Chlamydomonas reinhardtii: one gene and its partner. Each later gene encodes a partner of the first gene's protein in a complex. Links are inferred from orthologs where the notes say so. Each region holds a gene or a part of one and is shown on either strand. Other genes may lie near its edges.

Region 1 (3,742 bases):
CAGGGCTGCCCCACCCGCCGGAAGCCCAGCTGCAACAGGAAGGACAGCGTGTGGGCCAGCTCGTCACCGGACCTGCGGGCGCGTGTGGGGTGGATGCGGGAGTGGGGGTGGGCATGGCTGAGGGGTCGGGCTCAAAGCCAACGCCACCGTTGACACACACATCACGCGGCACATAGCAGCCTCCTGCCGGCACTACCGCGATCACAGGCGCCCGAGCTCAGTACGCCCGTGACGTCTCCACCCGCCTGGCCCCCGCAAGCATGTACCCTGCACGTCCCCGCCCACCCCACAAGCCCTTATCGCACACACACACACACACACACACACACACACACACACACACACACACACACACACACACACACACACACACACACACACACACACACACACACACACACACACACACACACACACACACAAGCACGACTCACGCCGCCTCTGCGCCGCTGATGTACTCGCGCAGCACAGCCCAAAGCTGCCTGTCCCCCGGCTGTAGCAGCCAGTGGAAGCTGCGCTGCGTCACCGCCAGGCTGCTACTGCCGGCGCCGCCGCGCGTGGCGGGCCGCCCGCCGCCGCTACTGCCGCCTGCAGCGTTTGCTACAGCCGCTGCCGCTATGTCGGACAGGAATGCGAGCAGTCCGGCTTCCACAAGCAGCGACCGGATGTCCAGTTCTTTGTAGTTGCGAGCCTGAGAGCGGTTGCGCGCGTGCGGGTCATCATATTTGTTCTGGAGACCTGCTGTTGTTAGTTAGTATACCTGGCCCATGATTGCGTTGTTGCATCAACGGCTGCGTCAGGGCTCAACCCATATGGCTTCGTCACGGAGGCGACAATAGCTTCCTCAACCACGCCTTCCGTGTCCTTTCCTGCCTTCCCTTCCCTCTCCGTCCCTTCCCTACCGCCTGCCCGCCGCCGCCCCGTCCTCGCACGTGCGCGCTCTCACCCTCAGCAGCTGCGGCAGCTGCGGCGGGCTGCGGCTGCTCCCCAGCAGGTACAGCTGCAGCGCCTCCCATTGCCCCACCGCCCACTCGCCCAGCTCCTCCAGGGAGGGACAGCAGCTGGCGGCGGCGGCTGGCACGTCGCCGCGCATGAGCTGGGAACTGCGGCAGGTGGTGGGCAGGGGGAGGGGGCGAGCAGGAGGAGGAGGAGGGCAGGAGGGGGGACGAGTCAGCCGATGTTTATGAAGCAGTGGTTCGCCTGGAGCTGCCCGGACGGAGCGCGTGCCGTCGCCGGCCTCCAGACCCTCCACAGCCCTGCTGTCCGCGCTACAGCTCCACAGGCCCCTTTGGTCCTTGCCCTGTTGCTCTCCTACCCCGGCCTTGTCCCGCTCTTGCCCTGCTCCTGCCCCGCTCCTGCCCCTTTCCTGCCCCGCTCCTACCCCGCTCCTGGCGACACTCACCCGCTGCACACCACCGTCTGCAGCTGAGCCCGGAAGTCCGGGTGCAGGCACCACAGCGCCACCGCACCGACACCACCGCGCTGCTGCCGTGCCGCGGCCCTCGCCGCCAGCGCCGCCGCCGCCCCTGCGTCCGGCCCTCCGCCTCCACCAGGGCCCCCGGGCGCCGCCACCTCTGTAAGGACGTCCAGTCCGCGCAGTGCCGACAGCGCTGCCTTGTGTCCGCTGGCCGCGCCCTTGGCTGCCCAGCTGTCCACAAAGTCTGTGTTGGGTAGCGCCAGGTAAGCCTTATGAGCGTTTAGTGAACCTGTGATTTCCAAGCATACGTGGCGCCCACACGCATGGTCCCGACGCTCGCCTTCACCCCGCCGTGCACACACGCCCAGCGGAACATGCAAACGCACACAGCGCACACACCTGCTGGGAAGGGCGACGGCACGAACAGCAGCCGCATCACATAGACCTGCAGCCGCAGCCGTGCAGACAGCATGTAAAAGAGACCCCTGACCCTCACAATCAACTGCACCGCCATGTGCAATATCACTGAATGGACTCGTGGCGTTTGATACGGCGGATTCGACAAAGCCTCCTCGTCCGCTTCGCCTTCCTCAGATAGCCCCCGTTGCGTCAATTGTCCGCTGCTAGCCTGCTACCACCCCTCCGCGCACGCTCCATCGACGCCACGCCACTCCACACCGCTTGCGGCAGCCAACGCAGCAACCACTAACACCACTGGTACCACCCACCTGCGCCAGAGGCGGCAGATTCCTGAAAACGGCTAGGCAGGTCCAGGGGGAGCGGTATAGAGCGCCGCGCTTGGGGCCGGGCAGGCCACTGATGTAGGCAGCGAAGTCCATTCGTGTTGTATTTGATAGTGGGCGAGGAGAAGGCTAGGATCTAGGAGTGGGGTGATGCGGAATGGCTGGCTCGAACACTGGAGCCCCCCGCGTGAACGCACACCACCCGCAGACCCGTGCCGTGGCACCCGCGGGGCTTGACACGGCGCTCGATGCCCCCGCCCTAGGAATACGATCCGCGGACAGAGAGATATTTGCTAATAGGGCGCGACCCTCGCCGGACTCTTGCCGACCCTCCGAGCGGCTCCTGCGCCAAGAGCACGCTATCTAATAGAATAACGTTAAGCACGAGAATGCTTGGGATCTACTCGCTGGTGTTTGAAAGTGCAGCGGTGCTAAATAGCAGTGAAGTGCAAACACCTTGGTGCGCGCATACAATAAGAAAGAGCTTGGAATTTTACATATAAGAGTCGAGAATGCATTGACAATTTATTTTCTGGGCTGCAGAAGATTGTTTATGAGGAGACCCATGGTAACTATACTGTAGAATTTCTCTCCCTGATGGTAAGTGTTCTTGCCACGCATACTTTTCAAACAGCAAGAGCGCTCATAACTTTTCATTTCTTCTACGGCAACGTTTACCTCTGCCAAGACGGGTGTTAAACCCTGGCCAGTCGACTTCCGACTCGCGCTCCTTGCGCTGCTGTTGCAGCAGGGGAAGGCGCCTTAACAGAATGTTGTTGATAGCAGCGGCAGGAGCCGCGGTAGCCTGGCGCGCCTTGGCCATCAAGGTTCGTTCGCGCGGAGTGCTGTTGGACCAGAAACCTTCGCCCAGAGGGAGTAGGAGTAAATGACTTGAGTTAAGGCAGGTCAGCGCGCTCAGCGCACATGTGGCGAGGACCCAGCGGGACAATCCAAATTTGTCCGGCGAGGGGCCTCGCTTTGAGCGCCCTGGCTCCCGCAAACTGCAGGCTCGCTCTGGTAAAGGAGTTGTAGCTGTTACTCAAGATGCGCTTGGTAAGGATGCGACAAGTCAGGCGCAAACAATAGCCGAGCTTGTCGATTTCCGTGGAATGCTCACTTCAAGCCTTGAAGCTGGGGAGCTTGAGCATGACATCGACGCTGTCAACCACGCCCTATACTGCGGCGAAGAGGCTCTGCCCTGGCTCATGGAGCTGCTGGTGAGGCGTGAAGCCTGGGACTTGGGCATGTCCTTGAATTGGCTCGCGGTGGAGACGCGTCCCTAGCCGCGCTCTTGCGTCATCGCGATGTTCTGCATGATATGGAGCACCGCCCGGGGCAGGTTTCCTTGGGCGGTGCGGTCACCACAGCATTGTCGTTCAGCCGTTGGTGACAGGTTCGGCGACGCACCCTGAACTCGCCGGCCCCAACGCTTGCAGGAGTCGGACGACCAGGACACCTTGAGCGAAGTCGCGGAGATCCTGGTGAGCGGTTGGGCCCTCGGAGCTGAAGTTCGCTGCGTCGCCCCGGCACACACCGCACGCAGGCTCGAGTTGCATTCCGGCCCCACCGCTAACTCCGCGCG
Region 2 (3,742 bases), on another chromosome or scaffold:
CCGCCCCTCCCCCGCCCCCACCAGCGCCCACCGCCTTGCCGCCCGCACCGAACGCTGTGCCGCACGTGGTGCATGAGCGGCTGGGCTGGCAGAAAATGGACAGGCACACGCTGCACACGTAGCCAGTCTCTATGACGTACTTGTGGCAGAAGCAGGAGGCACGGAAGTCCACCCCTAAGGCCTGAGCCTCATCCAGCTGCTTGCGGGTGGCGGTGTCGCACACGAAGTGGTTGAGCAGCACACCCAGCAGGCCGCGACCTCGGTGCGGCCGGAAATACAGCCCGCCTGCGTGTGTGCATGTTGGGCATTGTGGGTTTGGTTGTGTCAGCGAGCCGAGCACGCCGCCGCTGCCACCGGGTTGCAGCGTGCGGCCTCAGCTTGTGGCTCGCTCGGTCATACCGGTATGCTCTGGCTCGTAGAACGTCAAACTGCTCAACGGCGCAGCCAACCATTGTTTAGCCCCATCCCATGCGTGGCCTACCAGCATCAACCAACGCACCCACTGCAGCCCTTCCTCAAACACCACCTTGAGCACCGACGAATGCCACCAAGCCCTCAAGCACCCAGCAGCCCACCACCTACCACCCTACCACCCTTCCACCCTAGAACCCTACCACCCTACCGCCCTAGCGCCCTAGCACCGCACCTGTGAGGTGCGCGGCCTGCTGCATGAAGGACGAGTCCTGCGGCGCCACGACCACCGCATCCAGCACCACCTGGGCGCGCTGCGCGGAGAAGATGGCATTCATCACCGGGATGTACTGAGCCGCCGTGTCGCCGCAGCCCAGCAGCGCCAGCACACGAGGCCGCCCGCGCGGCCGCCCGCCCGCGGCCGCCTGCTGCTGCTGCAGGCGGTGGACCAGACACAGCGCGCGGGACAGTGCGCCCGACAGCGCGAAGCCGGGGCCTGGGGCGGGGTGGGGTTGGGGGTGGGGGTGGGGGGTTGCGTGAGTGCCGGCAGACGGCAGAGAGACTGGGGCCAAGCGCGATGCGATGCACGGTGAACGGCGAACATGCAAGCGCCTTTACCCTGGTCCGTGCGCCCGACATCGACACATTCCCCTCCTTTACCACCACCCAAACAAGGCGCTGCCACTCGCCAACGCGGCATCATTCCCACCTGCGCCCTGGCCAGCATTGGCTGCAGCCCCTGCGCCCGCGCCTCCTGCCGCCGCCGCCGCCGCGCACTGCGTGACCAGGTCCGTCAGTCGTGTGTGCAGGGCGCCGGCGGGGAAGACCTCGGTGTTACTGGCGTCCTCGCCCAGGCCCAGGTGCACCAGGTGGCTGAGGGGGGAGAGGGGAGAGGGGAGAGGGGGAGAGGGTGGATGACGAGTGGAGTTGATGCGGAGGGGTAGTAGGTGCGGGCAGGTGGTGGGTTGGAAGAGACGTGGGATGGTCGCAAACAGGCGGCACCCGCGGGAGAGGGCGGCACAGGTTGGGAAGCAGGCGGCACAGCAGCAGCAGGAGTGCAGCTGCGTCCAGACCACGGCACGGCCTGTGTGCGTCACGGCCTGTGTGCCGCACGGTCCGGGCTGGCCCCAGCACCTGGCCGGCTGCTAGCGGCCGCCACACACCCCGAACACTCGCACAGAGCAGCTCGCACCCCCCATGCCCCCCATGCGTGTGCTGTGTGCAGCCTTGGCACTGCAGCAGCGCCAGGGACCCATGGGGCCATGGCGCTCGTGTGGAGGCGCCATGCGGAGGTAGCTGGCGGCTGGCGGCTGGCGGCTGGCTGCTAGCGGCGGTCGGCTACGAAGCAGGAGATAGGCTCCGTCTGGGCCGGCCAGCCCCGCACCTGAAGTCGTGTTGCCCCGCGAACACGGCGAGGCGGTTGTGGCTGCTGAGCATGGTGTAGGCATTTGCAAAAGCCAGGAGCTGCAGGAAGTCAGGGGCAGGAGGTGAGGGGCAGGGAAGGGTATGGGCATGGGGTGCAGGTGTTGCAGCAGGTCAGCACGCGAACGGCAGACAAAGGCGGAACGCGATGGTTCTTCCCCGCGTGCGCTCCCCGGCCCCACCTGAGACAGGATCTCGGCCGGAGTCACGTCAAGGGAGTCCGCCGAGGGATTATCCGGGCGCAGCAGCACCAGGTCGAAGAGCACCACCAGCAAATCGCCCTCGTCTGCGACAGAGCGAGTCCATTTCAGTCGCGTTAAATGACATTGCTAACCTAATGTTTTTAAGCCCCGAATGACTTGCCCGCCATGGCCTCGGCGCCCGCCGCGCGAGCAGCGCGCGGAACTTAATGTGCAGTGCAGCTCATTGACACATTCATAGACTTGCTTCCCGATTTATTACTTGTAAGCTTGATATCTATACATAATTCATGTATTGACTGGCATCGAAAATCCACGGAAGACTCCGATCGATGCAATAAATACACGCGGGTCCATTGGCCCCAGCTTCACGTTCTAGATCGCTCCACTGCGCTTGTTTCCTAGGCCAACTATGCTCTCTGGAAGCCGCTACACCTGCACGTCAGCAGCGGCGAAGCGACAGCTGCAGCGGACGGAGCGGGCTGCACGTACGGGTGCTCCACGGGGTCAGGGTGTCGTTGCCATGGCAACTTCCCCAGCCCCCGATGCGGCCAAGCTGCGGTCCATCGTCCAGGCGGGGTCTCCCGTCCTACGGCAGGTGCGAGCTTTACAGCTGACACGCAGCTTCGCCGCACACCCCTTGCATTCAGCATTCCGTCCCCTGTCCCCGCTCCTGTGCCGGCCCGCACGCTGGTTGGGGTTGAGGCTCGGTGACTTGCTTGCTCCTCTGCCCGCAGCACAGCCTGCCAAGACGGTGCCTCGCGAGCTGCTGGGTAGCGGCTGGCTCCGGGGCCTGGCAGAGGAGATGACGGACGTCATGCGTGCGGCGCCGGGGGTGGGGCTGGCCGCACCACAGATTGGCGAACCCTGGCGGGTGGGTGGTGTAGACGATAAGGAAGGGGGGCGGTGGGCAGTGCGGTAGGCAGGCTGCGGCTGGGCTGGTGCCGCGTTGCCGTGCATGTGCCGGTGTCACTCCATCACCGCACGTTGGTGCACGCAGCTAGGAGCGAGCAATAGGGGCATGGCGACCCACATCGGCACGCTAGGTTCGCACTTGCATGTTCGCATGTTCGCACACCACTCCTCGCTGCATCGCTGCGGGGCCCGCAGGTAATTGTGATGGAGGACCGCCAGGAGTACATGGACCGGCAGGCGGCGGCGGGCGTGTACAGCGCCGAGCTGCTGGCGGCGGTGGAGCGGCGGCCGTTCGGGCCGCTGGTGGTGGTCAACCCCACCCTCAAGGCGGTGGGGCAGGAGGGCGGCGCGTTCTTCGAGGGCTGCCTCAGCGTGCGCGGGTACACGGTGGGTGGGTGGCCGCGGCAGTCTGCCTGCCTGGGGAATGAGGGAAGAGAGGGGGTCGTGGGGCGGTTTTTGCCGTACAAAGGGATAAGCGGTCAGAGGGAGTGGGTTGTGTTGGGGTGTAGGATGCGAGTGTCTGGCAGAGGAGCACCAAGCTGGGCGGGCGGTGCTGCGGCAGTTGGTGGCGAAGCAGCGGGGCCTGGCACACGCCAGCCCCACATGCACACCCACCTACTGTCGCAAGCCGCCGTATGCTTTCCTTTCACGCTGCTGCTGCTGTTGCCGCGCCCCTGCAGGCGATTGTGCGGCGGTACCGGGAGGTGGACCTGGAGGGGGTGGACGTGGAGGGGCTGCCGCTGCGGCTGCGGCTGACGGGCTGGGCGGCGCGCATCGCGCAGCACGAGGTGGAC

What was found. Proteins that work in one complex are often made in the same cells at the same time.
Region 2: CHLRE_09g403300v5 (region 1) and CHLRE_03g172050v5 share a complex: the UniProt entries of both Arabidopsis thaliana proteins name them as parts of the 7-subunit TFIIH core complex. The link is inferred for Chlamydomonas reinhardtii from reciprocal best matches to the Arabidopsis thaliana genes AT4G17020 and AT1G18340.

Annotation. Positions count from the first base shown.
Region 1 is NC_057012.1:640,987-644,728, reverse strand, and holds the start of CHLRE_09g403300v5 (uncharacterized protein), read right to left. Parts: upstream 2,658-3,742; 5' UTR 2,257-2,657; coding exon 2,146-2,256; intron 1,863-2,145; coding exon 1,817-1,862; intron 1,662-1,816; coding exon 1,403-1,661; intron 1,104-1,402; coding exon 947-1,103; intron 692-946; coding exon 435-691; intron 73-434; coding exon 1-72. Other genes in the region: CHLRE_09g403350v5 (uncharacterized protein), read left to right, coding at 2,931-2,987, 3,168-3,377, 3,597-3,641. UniProt on the Arabidopsis thaliana protein: Component of the general transcription and DNA repair factor IIH (TFIIH) core complex, which is involved in general and transcription-coupled nucleotide excision repair (NER) of damaged DNA and, when complexed to CAK, in RNA transcription by RNA polymerase II.
Region 2 is NC_057006.1:4,010,973-4,014,714, forward strand, and holds the start of CHLRE_03g172050v5 (uncharacterized protein), read right to left. Parts: upstream 2,304-3,742; 5' UTR 2,204-2,303; coding exon 2,197-2,203; intron 2,120-2,196; coding exon 2,016-2,119; intron 1,876-2,015; coding exon 1,796-1,875; intron 1,285-1,795; coding exon 1,121-1,284; intron 908-1,120; coding exon 647-907; intron 286-646; coding exon 1-285. Other genes in the region: CHLRE_03g172100v5 (uncharacterized protein), read left to right, coding at 2,557-2,631, 2,776-2,907, 3,144-3,335, 3,629-3,742. UniProt on the Arabidopsis thaliana protein: Component of the general transcription and DNA repair factor IIH (TFIIH) core complex, which is involved in general and transcription-coupled nucleotide excision repair (NER) of damaged DNA and, when complexed to CAK, in RNA transcription by RNA polymerase II.